Bombyx mori: one gene and its partners. The protein of the gene in region 2 binds, or shares a complex with, the protein of the main gene of each other region. Links are inferred from orthologs where the notes say so. Each region holds a gene or a part of one and is shown on either strand. Other genes may lie near its edges.

Region 1 (4,213 bases), on a different chromosome or scaffold from region 2:
AATCAGCCTTCAATTTCGATAAACAATTAACGGGCTTGAACAACTTCCAAGATTTCTACACACAGTTTCTAGAACAATTCCAAGCGGTCAGCTATGGAGATGACGTGTTTTCTGCATGTGTATTGGTGCCTTTAGCTCAAAAGCATAATGTTAAATGGAGGAAATTGATATGGTCGGAATATGCTGGATGTCTCCGGGCGTTAGATTGCCCGGAACAACTACTTTGTTATGAAGTAAATGAGTATCTTTATCCAGAAGAGACGGACGAATCTTTGATTAAATCTTATCATCGCGCGCTATCCTGTAATTTACTACGACCGGATACAATAATGCATAAAATTGCGAGTCATCACGTGCACATATTCAAGAATCGATCTCAGATACAAAACACTTGAAATTACTAAAATACAATGTAACGTTTTTCTTGTTGACATTTTTGTCAATAAGATATTTTGACGGTATTCATTTTAAACTTCAGGAAGCATTTTCTCCAATTAACCTGATTTGTGTGGACAAAATTGATTTTTGTTCCTGTAGATCAACTCACGATGAACTCACATGCTACATTATTCAATGTAAACTCTCAACTATAGTATACGAAAGCCTTTATGACTTCTCTAACTACCCATGGCGAACGTGGCTTTTTGTAATAAGTAATAAAGGATTGAATTTTCAATATGAATTAAATTATTTTAATTTAATTAACCCTTAATATCCCCTGTTTTTCCCGTTTCGGTAAGTCGTTTCTGTTCCAATCTTAAGCCCCACCACCCTCGTTAAAATATGAGGTCGAAATTCTTGAATTGTCGACGAAACATTAATTCCGTCCCGTCCTTCAAGCACCGCGTGAATCCTTCGCGGCGTATATTATTTGTAATATAGTGGTACCCAAATAACCCATTGCTATATTAATTTAATTGAAGAAGTAACAGGAGGGGGCTTCGAACGCCTGGGTGAGAGTACAGGAGAGTCGTTTCGTAGGCGTCTGGACCTCGTAGGAGGATCAGAAATAAAGTACCTATTTTTATTCCGGAGTGAAATAAAGATAAATCCAATGGCAACAACAAAAATTAAATTACCATCTTCTTGTTTGGTATGTAGCTCATGTAAATTTTTGCATGTTTTCGTGTTTATGAAAAGAAAGTGTTAATTTATAAAAAAAAAATTGTTATTAGGCAGCAAGTGCTCAAGAGCGGGGAAATACAAAAAATGTCTTGAAATACTAGTCTGGTTCTTAGAAGCCATTGTGAAGTCTTAGTAGAATGGCCGCATTCTACTGGATAAAATAACTAAATAACTATTCTACTTAAACCCAGTCGACGGCCGTGCAAATATATGAAGTTGACAACTGGTTTACGCGGGAAAATTACTTAACAGTTAGTTTCAAAATGTCAACAAGAACAAAATATTGACATTATTGACAAGTTAATGACAGAAGCCGCAGGTGTTCAATTTCAATGGTGGTTCAATGTTTTTTATATGTTAAAAATTTCTAACACTCATAGGAAAATGGTTATTTCCTGAGTTATTCGTTCCTGTGTACGGCAAAAATGTTTATAGAGGACCTCAGAAATGACTTTTACAATCTCCTTTTAGGCAATGTAAGCTTTAAAACTGAAGATAAATATTCGTGAAATATTGACCTGAAAATTGTATTTTTGTTAATTTACTTCCAGCGCGTGTTATTATTAGTGCATTATGATGTAGATGCAATATGTACATGTAAAATACTTCAAGGATTATTCAAGAGTGATAATATATCATATACGCTAGTGCCGGTGGGGGGTATTTCTGAATTGAAGACTGCTTACGAAGAAAACAATGAAGAAGTCAAGTACGTAGTGTTGGTGAACTGCGGAGGTACTATAGACCTGGTCGATATCTTACAGCCCGAGGAGGATGTGGTATTTTTTGTGCTGGACTCCCATAAACCGACTGATGTCTGCAATGTTTATAGCGATGGACAGGTTAGTGGAACTAGAGAGAGCAGCAGATGTTATAAATACTTTATGTTGGCAATGATTTGGGAATTGAATTTTTAGACAGACATAAACTTGCTTATGGATGGGTGAACAAATGAAAAAAGTTCTTAATCCACTCCATTTCATATGAAGTTTGGGTGAATAAACAAGAATAACTGTTCAAAAGACTAGATTAGTTAGTTAGAGATAGAGAGATAGCTTAGAGCCTAAATTTGACAAAGTACATAATCATTATGTTAGGATATGACACAAAGTGCAGCAAAATGTTTCAACAGAACAGAATCAAAAGACTTGACCTCAAATAAAGGAAGGGAATTTAGAAGCTAACATGGCTTTATTGTTTTAACATTTAGAAAGAAAAAAAAACATGTTCAGTGAAGTTAGTACAACCCCACTAGATTACTAGATAGTAGGTAGAAATATATATTTTGTTCTGTTACAGGTGAGACTGGTGTACCGTGATGAAGAAGAGAACATTCCTAATTTTGATGATATATTCAGAGATGATGATGATGAGGTACGAAACTGTAATATCTGATTTAAGACTATTTTGCAATGCTGCAAACTCCAAAAGTTTTTAAAAATCTAGTTTACAATAAAAATTTAATGGTATTTAAAATTTGAAGTCAGTGTGAAGATATTAAAAATAATTACAGAACGAAGAAGAAATGCCAAGTGGTCGAGAAGACCTAGAAGCTTTTGTCGAGAGACGGCGTCAACGTAGAGAATGGGAAACAAAACGAAACGATCTTATGTTTAACTACACTCAATTCTCATATTATGGTAAACCGGTGAGTAAAACGTCTGATAAACCTATTGAACTGTGTTAACAATAATTATGGACATTAATGAATAAAGTAGATCCAGTCTTGTATCAATCTCACTTGTAATATGAATTTGACAATTATTTACAGATAAGTCTTAATCTAATAATACATTTGCATTAGAGTGCTTGCATAGCAGTAGAGCTGGCCTGGCTGCTATGTCGCAGCGGAGTGGAGTACACGTGGGCCGGATGCATAGCTGTCAGTGCGTATGCTGCCACTCACACACGCTCCCCTGCACAAGCTCTGCTTGATGCACATGCGCTGCATCGACATCTCGCCGCGCAACTACCTTCACATGTGAGTATGTTACTGCACATAAATATATGGGCACACACCAATATCATGCACGAGATACAACTACTGTACATTGCCACGGGTATTACTTAAGCTGGGTAGCCTTTAGAGGTTATGCCAGCGTAAACGAGAGAGTAGGTGAGCTCACGGGGCTCTAAGCTGTGGACGTTGCTAACTCTAGCCCTAGCACTGGTCTGCTTCTATCGGTTTGGATCCATCACCGGATCGGAAGGTCTGGCGAGAAACTCAGTGGGCTGTGTAAGTGGGTTAATTTACTTTTTTTTTTTTTTTTTTTTTTTTTTTTTTCCGGGCCGTGGGCCGAACCTCCTACGAGGTCCCCGCGCCTAGGGGGCGCGCGGGGTATGTGAGACTCAACGATCTGCAGGTGTTGAGAGCAGACCGCGGGCCCAAGGAATTTAGGGCCCACCCACTAAACGACTCCCCTGCACTCTTACACCCGGCGTCCGATCTCCGTCCGGGGTCAAAACCCGGTCAGAGTAGGGGGGTTCCCGCGGTCAACACTACAACCAGACACGCGGCGCCACCCCGAGGACGCCCGACCGACGGGTCGTCGAGGCGATAGTCGACGACCAACGACGTCAGTCTCCGCGGTACGGCGGCCCTTCAGGCCGCCCGGGCGATGCCGCTGGTGTTCCGGGATACCCCGCTGGGCCAGAACCAGCCTGCCGGGTCGGAACGCGATACACCGCCGACCGGGTTGCTCTTCCACAGTGTTCGGCGACGACAGCGACGACGAAAATGCGGACCGCATCGCAGTCCGCAGCCGCCGACGCGTCGTCCCGTCCTCCTGGTGCCAGCGCGCTAGAGTGACGGTAGCGTGCGGCGCAGTCTCAGCCCCCTTAGGTCGCCCCGTGACCATCACCGGGAGGAGACTGCCTCCTCATAGGGGCCGGAGCTGGACAAACGCCCTCCTCCGACCCCCGGCTCGACGGCGGCGGCACGGCGCCGAGAGGGAGGAAGAGTTCTCCCTCTCCCGTTCCGCCGCCTCCTTCTGCGAGATGGTGGACACGCAGAAGTCGAGCATCGCCTGCCAGGACTCATCGCTGCCGAGCATCGCAGCCACGACGGTCGGAAGCGACAAGTCCGGTC
Region 2 (3,954 bases):
CCTCACTTATAATGCAGTTCTCGCACTCCAAGAGCCTTGAGTCCCTTTATGCCTTCCATTTGACCTTCATTTGCTAATTTAGTCCTGGTTGTAATCTCAGCCCTGGAGCCTGGCATTGACAAGGCTCCCACATCAGGCACTACAATCAGTGTTCCTGTAAAATCATAACGGTCACCAGCCTAAAAAACAAATTATACTTTTAGTTTCAATTTAGATTGATTAATCTTAGTTTGATATTTTTGGCTTTACAAATATCGAGAAATTGGGAAGTTCAGGTCTTGTCCATATCATGTTTCTTTTAAATTCACCTGCACAGATTCAACAGCTTCAGCCCTCAATATCACTTCAAGAGATCTGGGTATGCAACCACGGGGCAATTCAGCTTGGGTTTCCTGGATTCGTATCTTTTGGAAGTCAACAAAAACGCTCTTGTCTGCGTCCAGCATAAAACGCCTTCTATTAGCACATACAGGATTACGGCAGATTGTTGGAATTGTGTACTGAGGATAAAATAATATTTGTTAATTAATTTATTATTTATTTTAATTAATTCCATTTAATTTTATTAAGTTACTGTATTTCTCTAAAGAATTAATAAAATCAATTAATTAAAAAATCTTACCTTAAACTGTTGCTCTACATTTTTAATAACTGTTTGACAATCTAAGCACACAAATGTGCCCTGAACTAATTCAGGGTGAACTGGATGTGTCCTTACAATCTGCCCAGAGATCCTTATGAGAGTACCAATCTTTGCTGTGGTTAACTCCCTTACTTTGTGTCTTGTTGGTACATCAACAAATGAAACATAGCATTCTTTATCTTGTAGATCTTTTTTCATTCCAGTTTCCGCAAGACTGAGTATGTAATTCAAAATGGCTCTGTTTAGAAATGGATATATCCTATAATACTCTTCAATTATTGTGGTAGCAAGATTCTGGTTGTACTTTTCAACATCATCAAAACTAACTTCAAGGGTACTGAGCTCTGGTTTCAATAGTTCCTTAGCATGTTTCTCATATTTGATTTCGTTATCTTCCTTAAATCTGTAAATATTTTTTTTTGTTAATTATTTGCTGAAGCGGTTTTAAATTTATATCAAGAAGTCTGTTTGCCAACTAATGAAAATATGGAAGAAAAGCATTTATTCATAATATGGTAAATAAAAAAACAAATAACTTAGTATTATAACAAACTTGATTTTTAAAATCAAACATACTCTTCTAAGAAGTCTTGAAAAAGCTTTTGGCATCGAATTCCCACTTCATCTTTTACTTGACTCTGTGTGGCATATGTGTCAGCTACATCCATGGTTCACGACCTGAATAATATGTAACACCAGAGCTTAAGGGTGAGTTAATTTGCAAAGTTTGTTAAACGATTCTGCAATCTGCAACTTTAAAACAATGACAATAAACAAGTAACCGGTTACACGTGTTCTGTAATGATTCTCACTTAGATGGGCTAATCGTTTCTATGGACAGAGCTCAATTACTTCAATATTATTAGTTGATTTTGTTTAATAAAACTTTAAAAAGAAAATATTTTGAAAACGAGAACCGATAAAAATTCAAACATGTGTACAAGCGTACCAATTTGAACTATGACAGATTGAACGTCAGACTGACAAGAGGGTCCCGAGGGCGGGAAAACGTTGTAAAATTGTCCCTTCAAAAACAATAAAAATTTATCTATTCATAAAGAATAGGCAAAGACAAAGCAGTACTACACTACATTATTTTCTTCTCTTTGTCAGATATTATAAAGTATTTACATTGAAAAGAAAAACAGTGACTGCGGTGGAACAATAATAATACACTAAATATGAAGAAATGCTTACATAATTAAGTAAGTAGTTCAAGACAAGAATGTTCCAAATGCAATTTTAAATATCGGAAGAATTTTCCTTACGTCAAAATAAAGCTGGTACGGTACTCTCGATTATGTGCATAAGTTTCATTATTAAATAACATGACCATATGAAGTGTCTAAAATCTTTCGGACTAGCACAATTAGTTTTTATTGTTGGACGGTTAAATTTAAGGGGACTAGGTTCTGGAGGAGAGAGGCTATTTAAAAACACTCTGCTTCATGGTTAATTTAATTATATTGCAAATACTTTGTACACTATTACACCATTATAATATTTTATTTTGATACAACTCTAAGATGTTACTCTGTCCGTGTCTAGATGAGAAGTCATTGTCTTCACTGACGAGAAGACAAATTATTTGTTTTAAACATTTAAATAAGCATTCCAATATTTGAAATCTGTGACCTTACATGTGTCAAGTGTTGCCTACCATCGCTTACATACATGGAGATAATCTTATATATTCAAACTCCAACACTTATAGATACGCTTGGGGCACTGTTTGACTCCTTGGCATTTTTTTCAATAACTATACGATTAGTTTTTCGAGAGCTGTTCGTGCTCACCCTACTGTTCTGTAGATTTTATCAAAACTTGCCGATCCAGTTGGACAGGTAAAACCCCAAAACTCTTATTCAGTCGTAAAAACTAATAAGTAAGATATGTACATGCTTCAATAAAATATGAAATGCATGTTAAAAATTATAATGTAGCACTTGATCTGTCAGTGAAAACTGAAAGCGGAAAGAATTATTTAACGAATCCGTTAGAATTATGTAACGAACCTAAAGTTGTTTATTTTCCCTGTTTTCCAATTACAGCACTAGAGCGCATTATGCGGCATAATGCTCAACGTCGAATGTTCCTACTACAGCAACGCTTCGCACAATCGAGCACTCTCAAAAGTACTGCTCTCGCGTGATACTCGCAATCGATACCGACTCAGTGACAGAAAATTGACAAGTGTTTTTTCTTTAAGTTGGAATTGATCGAAATTTTGTTTATATTATCGTTAGTAATATTATTTATTGTTGAAAAATTTTGTAAGGCTTTCGTTTCGTCGTAGTTTCTTGGAAATAATCAAAGTTAATTGAAACTGTGCTAAAAAAAATATAAGTATGGATGATTCACTTAAAAAGTATATAATTTTCATAGAACTCATTTAAAAAAAATACTCAAAATGTAAAAAAATGTTAATGAAATAATAAAAATCCAAATTACTTAAAATAACCGTAAATAGTTTTCAACCAATTATTATTGTTTACTACATTATTTATATATTAATGAGGTTGCCAACTCCATGAATATTTTTTTTCAACATTGAACTTATCGCACTCTGCTGATGCATTTGAAAACTATTTTACGTTCCAATTAAGATTCAGCATAATTCAGCATTGTGTGCTATTGAGTCGCATTATGCGCTGTAATTGGAAAGCTACCTTTATGAATATTTGAAACATCTAGATTATAAAAGTTTGGCGGAAACGAGTGAGAGTGGTTATAACCATGGACAATACCCTCCAAAAAGTCCACTGAGAAATCTCAGTAAATGACCACCATTTTACTGCGATTATATTTCATTCCATATCATCTCATTTCATTTAATTTCATCCCAGTTGATTAATGTCTCAAATTAATCATCTTCATTTCATTTCACTCCATTTTATCATTTTTCATAGAAATAAGAATATAAATTAAAATAAGACATGACTTAAAGGTCTTTTTTACCAGGTCATAAAATCCATTAAAAAAAATCGCTCCACTGATTAGCGTTTGAGAAAGTTATGAAGTTTCATAATATGTAGTAATTAGTAAGACAACTTCCCAATAAAGTTGTTTTTAAGTGCACTAATCATTGAAAATGACAGAAACAAAAATAGCCTTTCTATATAAAATAGCGTCTTCCTTACCATCAAATATATCCAACAATCTTCAAAATGTGTTGAAAAGTTATTATTTGTATGTAACAAAAATGTTTGTCACATTTATATATTGTATCGAGTTATCTGGATATTAAAAAAAAAAAACTATCTATTTCAGAATGAAATGTAAAGAAGTAACTAAAGGTTATGGACTACCAG
Region 3 (3,835 bases), on a different chromosome or scaffold from region 2:
TCGAAGGGCTCGACGAGTAAATTAACTCCCAGACACAGCCCACTGAGTTTCTCGCCGTATCTTCTCAGTGGGTCGCGTTTCCGATCCGGTGGTAGATTCTGCGAAGCACGGCTCTTGCTAGGGTTCGTGTTAGCAACGTCATCAGGTTTGAGCCCTCAAGGCTACCATCATAGGTAGGAAAAAAAAAAAAAAAAAACTGCGCTGTATCTTTTTTGAGAAAATAGTTTTTTTCAATGCCAGCTCATTAACAGGGCACGTAAATATCAAAAACGCAAATGCTGCCACACACCTAAACAAAAGTTCTAAGTCTGAAGTCTGATATTAGGAGACCTCGGGGCTGATGATGATATTGATTGTTGCATCATTTGATTTGACTACAGCAAGCATTATATTCTTTAGGCCACTATGACTGCTCTTTCACCCATCAGGGATAGTAAAAAAAATGGACACACACTTGCTTTATTAGGAGGTGCAAATCTAATCAAGTCAAATCACTAAGCTTATGGTAAAAATAATCTTCTCATAAAATTTATTTCCATACAGACATCAAACATTATTTTTCACAATATTATTTAAAACATAAAATGGTCAAAAATTCACTATTGATAAAATAAATTCACATTATTTGTTTCAGAATACCCTGTCGTATTAAAGTCTGACATTCCGAAGTAGGAAGATAATGTCTGCTATTCTTCTTAAGCATAACCACATCACCATCTTCAAGTTCTAATTTACCATAATCCACAACACAAAGCACTTCGATGAACAATGATTTAGGGGGCTTTAAATTTTCAGTCAAGTCTATGCCACTGTATCCTATATCTTGGCCTAAAGATCTCATATACAAAGCAAGATTTCCAGAGTATTTTGAAAACCATTGATATTCATCATCAGAAAGCAATTCTCTGATATCTGGAGGTAGTACTGCACCAAATTCCCAACGTAATGTCTTAATTTTTTTCATTCTGTTGTAGAGATAGGCTAATATACACCTTTTATTGCGTTCAAGGGCAGAATGTCTTACTTGAACTGTGGTCCACAATGATCTGTTTTCTGTTGTAGCATTACTAAAAATAGTAATTCAATTAATACAAGCGGTAATCATAAAACAGTTTGTTGTTATCTTCTTCTTCTATAAATGAACTTGATGAGCAATTGAACTACATATTTTTGAAATTTAAATTAAAATGGACTAATAGCAGGTAACCTTATTACAACACCACATGAGACTCAAGTGCATGAAAATATTAACCCCTTTGCACTAAATGACGTTTTCGTTTGTGCGGACCAGCAACTCAGACCGATTTTGGCCAAATTAGAGAAACATTTTAAAAGTACTTTAAGATCAACAAACAAACACACATTTCTCTATTTTTTTTATATACCAAAAACAATAATTAGTACTATTATTAAAAAACAACTACACTGTAAAAAAACTCAATAAGCTGAGCTAAGATTTGGTTAGAAATTGAAGCCAAGCCTGTCCACTAAAGTATTTTTAAGCAGATACATAACCGTAGTGCTGTAACAAATCTGCTGGGTGAGATATCTGTGCTACTCAAGCACAACCAGTAAAGCTATCAAATCTGCTGGGCAAGTTATCCAAACTGCTTGAATGTGAAGAGTTATAAAACAAAAAAGTCATAAAACTTTTTTTTGCATAATTGGGTGAGAGATCTCAGGGCTACCTCAAATCCCATGAAGCTAGCATAACCCCTCGAGGTTAGTAGCAATAGATTGACAAAAAAAAACAAAAATAGACCTTCCTGGAGTTACAAGGTTACCTGAGCACTTTTGCATCACATGAAACAGAATAGGAGGTTACAGAATAGAAGTGATCATAGCAAATCTTGCATATTGAACAATAACTACTTGCAGTTATATTAGTAGAAAACCAGTGACTTACGCATCATTCATGTTCAATTTAAATAATAAATGCATTTCTTCTATTATTTGGCGTATTTTTTCATCCTGTAACATGTGAAATACTATGTACTTTATAAGATTAAAAGACACAAAAATAATAATAGGCGGTGCTATAACAATAATTTAATATACTTGTCACTTCTAAATGGATTTCTGACTTTATAGTGCATATGCATAGACAAACAGAATAGATGACAACCGGATAAAATCTTGGTTTCGGTATTAAATAGTAACTTAAAGCTTTCATTAGATATAACAAGTTTATTCTAATTCCAATCCCATACCTAGATGGGCACATCCAACTTACATTATATTGATCTATTGTGTCAGGATTTCTATCTACTTCTTTAATTAGTTCTATAACTTTTTCTGCGAACATTGTGTGTTACTTATTTACTTAACAATGAGAGAGATAACAAACAAAATACTTTAATAATTTAGATAAAAACATTTTTGGCATTGGCGCGAAAGTTGTTATTAATTTGATGAGTGACAGCTCAAGACTGTGACAGATAGTAAATTTGACATTTTATGATCGGATACGCATCATTTTTGGATGAGTTCGAAAATCACAGAAGCCTTGATCTTTAAATCTATAATACCAAAACCTAATCTTAAGATATTAAAATTTTCTAGAAGTGGGAGCTAAGTCATACAAGTAACTTTTTACAGATAATCACTTAGTAGCAATACAGCCAATAATAATCTCACTCTCCTTATCGGGTCGACCATCAGATCCAATTACTCTTGCAAAGACGCTTTCAACTTTAACATTAGGAGCAGACTTAGGGACCCTGATAACCGTACTCGTCGAACTCAACAAAGTGTTCGACGTGCAAACTAACCTCCCGGTGCCACCTCTGGGACATGATGATTTCATCATTCCCGCTGAATTGCGCCTCCTTATCAAGCGGATAAAGAGGCGCAAGGCATTGTGTGAGGACGGTATTCTCACCCTTGCATTTTTCCACTTTCTAGAATCAGTCGTGTCTTTTAAGACACGGCTGTTTAATTACATTCTGTCTACAGGATATTTCCCGGGAATTTAGAAGGACAGAAGACAGCCCTCCAATTATCGTCCGATTACCCTGTTGTCGTATGTGGGCAAGTTGTTCGAGCGGCTGCTGGTGAGAAGAGTGTCTCCGCACATCCTTCTCAGACCCGAGCAATTCTGGATACGTAGCAGTCACTCAACAACGCTGCAATTGGTCTGCGTTATGCACCTTTTGACGGTCCAACGCACGCCAGTACATGGCGGCAGTATTTCTCGATTTCGAGAAGGCCTTCAACCGTGTCTGGCGTGCGGGGCTTATCTGCAAGTTGGTGCAGAACACGGACTTCCAGCACGCCTACGTGCGACTACTGGGGTCGTACCTGGAGGGCAGAACTCTTTTTGTCGCGGTCAAGAGCGCTAAATCGTGGATGCGCCCAGCCACAGCTGGGGTTCCCCAAGGAGGTATCCTGTCACCGATCCTCTACGCTCTCTACACCAACGACATTCCCAATGTCGTTACGTTGTGTTAACACACAGAAATAATAAGCAGTAACATATCTATGACGGCGTTAACGTTACTTCTGTTATACAGCACGTGCAATAGGAGTGAGTCATACACAAGCCAGGTGCGCCGGCCGTGTCACTCCACTCGTAAAACAGCACGTGCAACAGGAGTGACTCATAGATAAGCCAGGTGCCCCGGCCGACTGCGTTTGCTCGGTGCACTTACTATATCCTTGTTACATTGTGTGATTAAGTGACTGTTTTACGTACTGGTTAAGGTTGGATAAATGTTAAAGTGAATTAAGTTATCATATTGTTGATTAAATCAGGAATCAAAAAGTGACTTCGTTTTACTGGGTGTTCAACAAGATAATATCCCCCGCCCTAACCCCCCCCCCCCCTCCCCCTCCC
Region 4 (4,011 bases), on a different chromosome or scaffold from region 2:
GGTAGGGATGCATGGGTCCAAGTTAGCTCGTTTAGCTGCATATTAAGAATCGATTCTAAGCCATTTTTGATTAAAGTCTACTTGTGTCAAAAGATCTGGGTGATTCCAAAAAGAGCAGCAATGGAGCACATACGTAAATTTTGGAACGAAAAAACTAAATTTTAAGATGCAAAGTGCTTAATGTGGACTAATTTCAAGGAAACGGTCAGCAGAATTTTGAAATTTAGTAATAAATTTAGTTATTTATAAAATAAACTATGTTTAAGTGCCGCCGTTATAGTACGGTTGATATTTGCAAAGTACAGCTATTTGTAAGTACAGATATTTGTAAGTACAGCTCTGTATTACTGAGGTAATGTAGTTATGCGACTTCAAAGAAGCAGGTTTATGTGGCTAACAAGATTAAATGTCTTCGCTAGTACGTACGTACATTATTCGATACAAAAACTGCAATTAATTGTTTAAAACAAACTAGGTGTGTCCCGCGGCCCACGGCTCTATTTTAAGTAAAATTTAGAATGAATAATGTAAATGTATTTACGGGATGGTCAGTGTGCTTGTACCAAGCACATGTACAACAACTTTCAGTAGTAATGTCCGAAGTAGAGTTCATTGTTCCATCCACAGCTCATTTCTAGAAATAATTCTAGGATGAACTCTATAGCAAAGTATTTCTGAAAGCTATATTCAGACGAGTTTTGAAAATAATATGTAGTTTTAAGTGGGAGGCGACGCACTCTTTCATAGTGTCAGCACTGGCTTTTCTCTTCTGAATATCGACTTTTTTCGTTTTCTTGCTCTTCATCCCTAATTTTACTAGTAAGATAAGGCTTGCTGTAAGCCTACTAGGATGGCTCGAGCACCCATTACTACTGAGACTTCCACAACATGAAGCAATAAAAAAATATTTAAAAATATTAACCATTCAACCCTTCAAACCAGGATGATGATTGGTTTGCACAAGAAATAAACAAGATGGTATGGCGGCTTATACTAATTTTATTACAGCGTTCGATGTTATTCCTTCACTACTAAACTTTGTTCAAGAACACAGTGGAGAAACATACTTAACATACAGGAACATTATCATTTGTAGAAATCGAACTTGATATTAAATATCATCGAGACTCATAGCTGCTCACTCACTCTTCGTAGTATTACTTATGATAGAAATAGATAAAACATTGGTTCAAACTAGAGGTGGCTAATATAACCAATAACCAATAAATTTACCGGTAAAAAAAATTAACACTTCTATTCGATAAATAAAATTACCCAAAACGGTTAAAAATACCGTTTACCAAACACACTGCGTGTAGTGGCATAGGCAATTATTGGAAATTATATTTATGCAAGTTTCAACTTTATTTCAACACGTAAGATTCATTTTCGCCTTGCAGATGTCTTCAACTTATCATGTAAAAAATATTGAATTTTATGATTTCATTGTATGCTCTATACCCCTCAAAATAAAGCACAATATTTAAGTTGGTGTATTTTACAGTTAATGATAATTTTTTTCGTTAAAAAATTGAAATGAAACGATATTTTTACCGAACGCGAAGATGACGTGATTGGTTGATTTTTTAAACGTAATATTTTGTTTGGTACTTGACATTTTGGTGGCTCAGTGCATCTTTTCTATTATTTTGGTAAAGTTGTGTTTTTGTATTTTAAGAGATTTGTACTTTGTGTTTGTGTGTTTTGACTTTGTTTTTGTGTGTTTGAGACTTTGCTTACTTTGTTGTTGTGGATTTTTAAATTGTATATCTAATTTAAAATGCCGAAACGCAATGCAGAAATATGGGATCATTTCGAAAAGTGCTAGTACCATTCAAGTTTAACATTAGCAAAATTAATTTTTCAACGAAAAGATTTACCGGTATTTTCAACCAATAAAAATATCGGTAATTTTTTTTATCAATTACCAGTTAACAGATAAATAAATTCAACCGTTAACGCCATCTCTAGTTCAAACCAACAAAGTTTTAAACAAATAGTAAGCAAAAAAATCTGTGAGAAAAAAAATTACATTATTTTACCATAAACTTATTATTTCAATAAAGGTAGTAGAAATAAAATCCCGTGCTATTCAGAAGAAAAAAAAAATTAATGACAATTGAGGTATGTCATAAAGTAACAATTTGTTTAGTACAGAAAGCAAGACAAAAATACAGAAAATTTTAATAAAAGAAAAAGATAAAAGAAAAAAAAACTATGATTGTAATGTAGTGAAACATGAATGCGATTATATACTCTTTAAATTTATAATGAATTGGTAAAAAAAGCTCTTTAGAACCTAAAAAACACCAGAACTCAAATTCGAGTCGTGAAAGCTAGAATAATATCATTCAGTGACAATCTAAAGTTGCACTAGAATTCTGTGGGTATATATAATTTAGAAGAATATGGAGTCAACCGAAGAGTTGCAGTTCAGTGATGATGAAGAAGAAGTAACAGCTGAGACTGTTTTAAAAACACTACAAAGTGCTTGGCAAAATGAAAGATTGTCCCCAGAAATACTCCCTCATCAAAATGACATGGTAGAATGTATGTTAGGTCAAATACAACACATGGAAAGAAACATAAATAAACTTTCAAAAACTGATTTGAGAACTTCTATACACAAAATGGAGATTAGCAGAATTAAATTTATTATTTGTAATTATCTTAAAACTAGACTGAATAAGATTGAAAAATATTGCATTCCAATACTAAACCAAGAAAGACAAAGAATAGAAACTGATACTAATTACCTAACACCATCAGAATATAAATATGCTCAAGAATATGTTTTGAACATGGAAAATCATATGAAAAATGTGGTATTAAATAAAATGCCTGGTAATATGCAAGTCTTTGAAATGAACAAAATGGCAGAACATCCTAATTTACAAACGCATGTATTCCTTAAAGCCAATGAAACCATTAATGGGGTTGTATTAGAAGACTTGACTGGTGAAGATGAAGAAATTGACTTAGAAGGTTTGTTATTGATTTTCTCACAACTGAAACACATTATAGGTTTTCTTTTGTTATACTTTGATAGATAGAGCAATACCCTTGTTGGTTTAATGACCTTGACTATTGTACCACAGGATATCACCTATATCATTGAAGTTATCATGACTTAAATAATAATATTATGGTATATTGAATGATTTGATTATATATGTCTTAAATTGAATCTAATTCTGTTTGATTAATCCACAAAAAAGAAATAACACTATGGAAACAATAAACTTGCCAAAATAAAAATAATATCCCATAATTATTGGTGGTAGGCCATATGGGAATGTGTCACCAATTAATTAGTCTCTGCCATAAAGCAGTCATGAAGTTTGAAGAATGGGGACAGTCCCCATACTAGACAATGGAGACTTAGACCTCATATCTCAGGAGGTATTCACTTTTTATAGTATTTATAGATTTTGGTGAACATTTAACATTGTGTATGTCTGACACATACAACACTTCTGAACATACATTATGTAGCAATCTCAGAAATAAAAAAAAATCAAACACAGTGAATGATATTTACCATAGGAGTTAAAATCTTATACTTTTAAACTAATCTAAAGTGCAAAGTTGTGCTATAATTAAAATTATTATTTTTTTTAATTAAAACCTTGAGGCAAGAGTTCTAAGTCTCCGTTTTATGACTCAGTTAATGGCTGCCCCAACTCTTAAACCAAAACGCATTACTGCTTCATGGCAGAAATAGGCAGGGTGGTGGTACACATCATGCAGGCTCACAAGACACCGTACCACTAGTGAAAGTGTAAGTAAGATGTTAAATGATAAAGCTGTAATGTAAAAATGCTTGTAATTACCTTAACATTTCAATTTAAAGTCTAAATTTTATTGTAGGTATGTAGCCCAACCATATACTTACACCAGTAAAGTCAAATTTATTAATTTCGTAGGTTTGTAATTGCAGTAATGCTATCTATATAAATACTAAGTTTATGCATTTCCTCAGAAAACTAGGGAATGTCATAGAATTTTAAA

Evidence for each region.
Region 1: DNA replication licensing factor Mcm6 (region 2) and cell division control protein 45 homolog share a complex: the UniProt entries of both Homo sapiens proteins name them as parts of the CMG helicase complex. The link is inferred for Bombyx mori from reciprocal best matches to the Homo sapiens genes MCM6 and CDC45.
Region 3: DNA replication licensing factor Mcm6 (region 2) and DNA replication complex GINS protein PSF1 share a complex: the UniProt entries of both Homo sapiens proteins name them as parts of the CMG helicase complex. The link is inferred for Bombyx mori from reciprocal best matches to the Homo sapiens genes MCM6 and GINS1.
Region 4: DNA replication licensing factor Mcm6 (region 2) and DNA replication complex GINS protein SLD5 share a complex: the UniProt entries of both Homo sapiens proteins name them as parts of the CMG helicase complex. The link is inferred for Bombyx mori from reciprocal best matches to the Homo sapiens genes MCM6 and GINS4.

The regions. Positions count from the first base shown.
Region 1 is NC_085122.1:1,052,313-1,056,525, reverse strand, and holds the start of cell division control protein 45 homolog, read left to right. Parts: upstream 1-1,413; 5' UTR 1,414-1,550; coding exon 1,551-1,601; intron 1,602-1,676; coding exon 1,677-1,967; intron 1,968-2,424; coding exon 2,425-2,499; intron 2,500-2,638; coding exon 2,639-2,773; intron 2,774-2,929; coding exon 2,930-3,106; intron 3,107-4,213. Other genes in the region: RNA polymerase II-associated protein 1, read left to right, coding at 1-395. UniProt on the Homo sapiens protein: Required for initiation of chromosomal DNA replication. Core component of CDC45-MCM-GINS (CMG) helicase, the molecular machine that unwinds template DNA during replication, and around which the replisome is built.
Region 2 is NC_085132.1:5,464,727-5,468,680, forward strand, and holds the start of DNA replication licensing factor Mcm6, read right to left. Parts: upstream 2,801-3,954; 5' UTR 2,659-2,800; intron 1,660-2,658; exon of another isoform or gene 1,426-1,659; intron 1,322-1,425; 5' UTR 1,312-1,321; coding exon 1,220-1,311; intron 1,047-1,219; coding exon 623-1,046; intron 501-622; coding exon 309-500; intron 180-308; coding exon 7-179; intron 1-6. Other genes in the region: uncharacterized protein LOC101741249, read left to right, coding at 3,735-3,832, 3,914-3,954. UniProt on the Homo sapiens protein: Acts as a component of the MCM2-7 complex (MCM complex) which is the replicative helicase essential for 'once per cell cycle' DNA replication initiation and elongation in eukaryotic cells.
Region 3 is NC_085118.1:17,161,055-17,164,889, forward strand, and holds DNA replication complex GINS protein PSF1, read right to left. Parts: upstream 2,436-3,835; 5' UTR 2,306-2,435; coding exon 2,234-2,305; intron 1,972-2,233; coding exon 1,907-1,971; intron 1,068-1,906; coding exon 617-1,067; 3' UTR 501-616; downstream 1-500. UniProt on the Homo sapiens protein: Required for correct functioning of the GINS complex, a complex that plays an essential role in the initiation of DNA replication, and progression of DNA replication forks.
Region 4 is NC_085121.1:9,245,601-9,249,611, forward strand, and holds the start of DNA replication complex GINS protein SLD5, read left to right. Parts: upstream 1-1,211; 5' UTR 1,212-2,408; coding exon 2,409-2,985; intron 2,986-3,667; coding exon of another isoform or gene 3,668-3,690; exon of another isoform or gene 3,691-4,011. Other genes in the region: opsin-1, read right to left, coding at 1,068-1,074. UniProt on the Homo sapiens protein: Required for correct functioning of the GINS complex, a complex that plays an essential role in the initiation of DNA replication, and progression of DNA replication forks.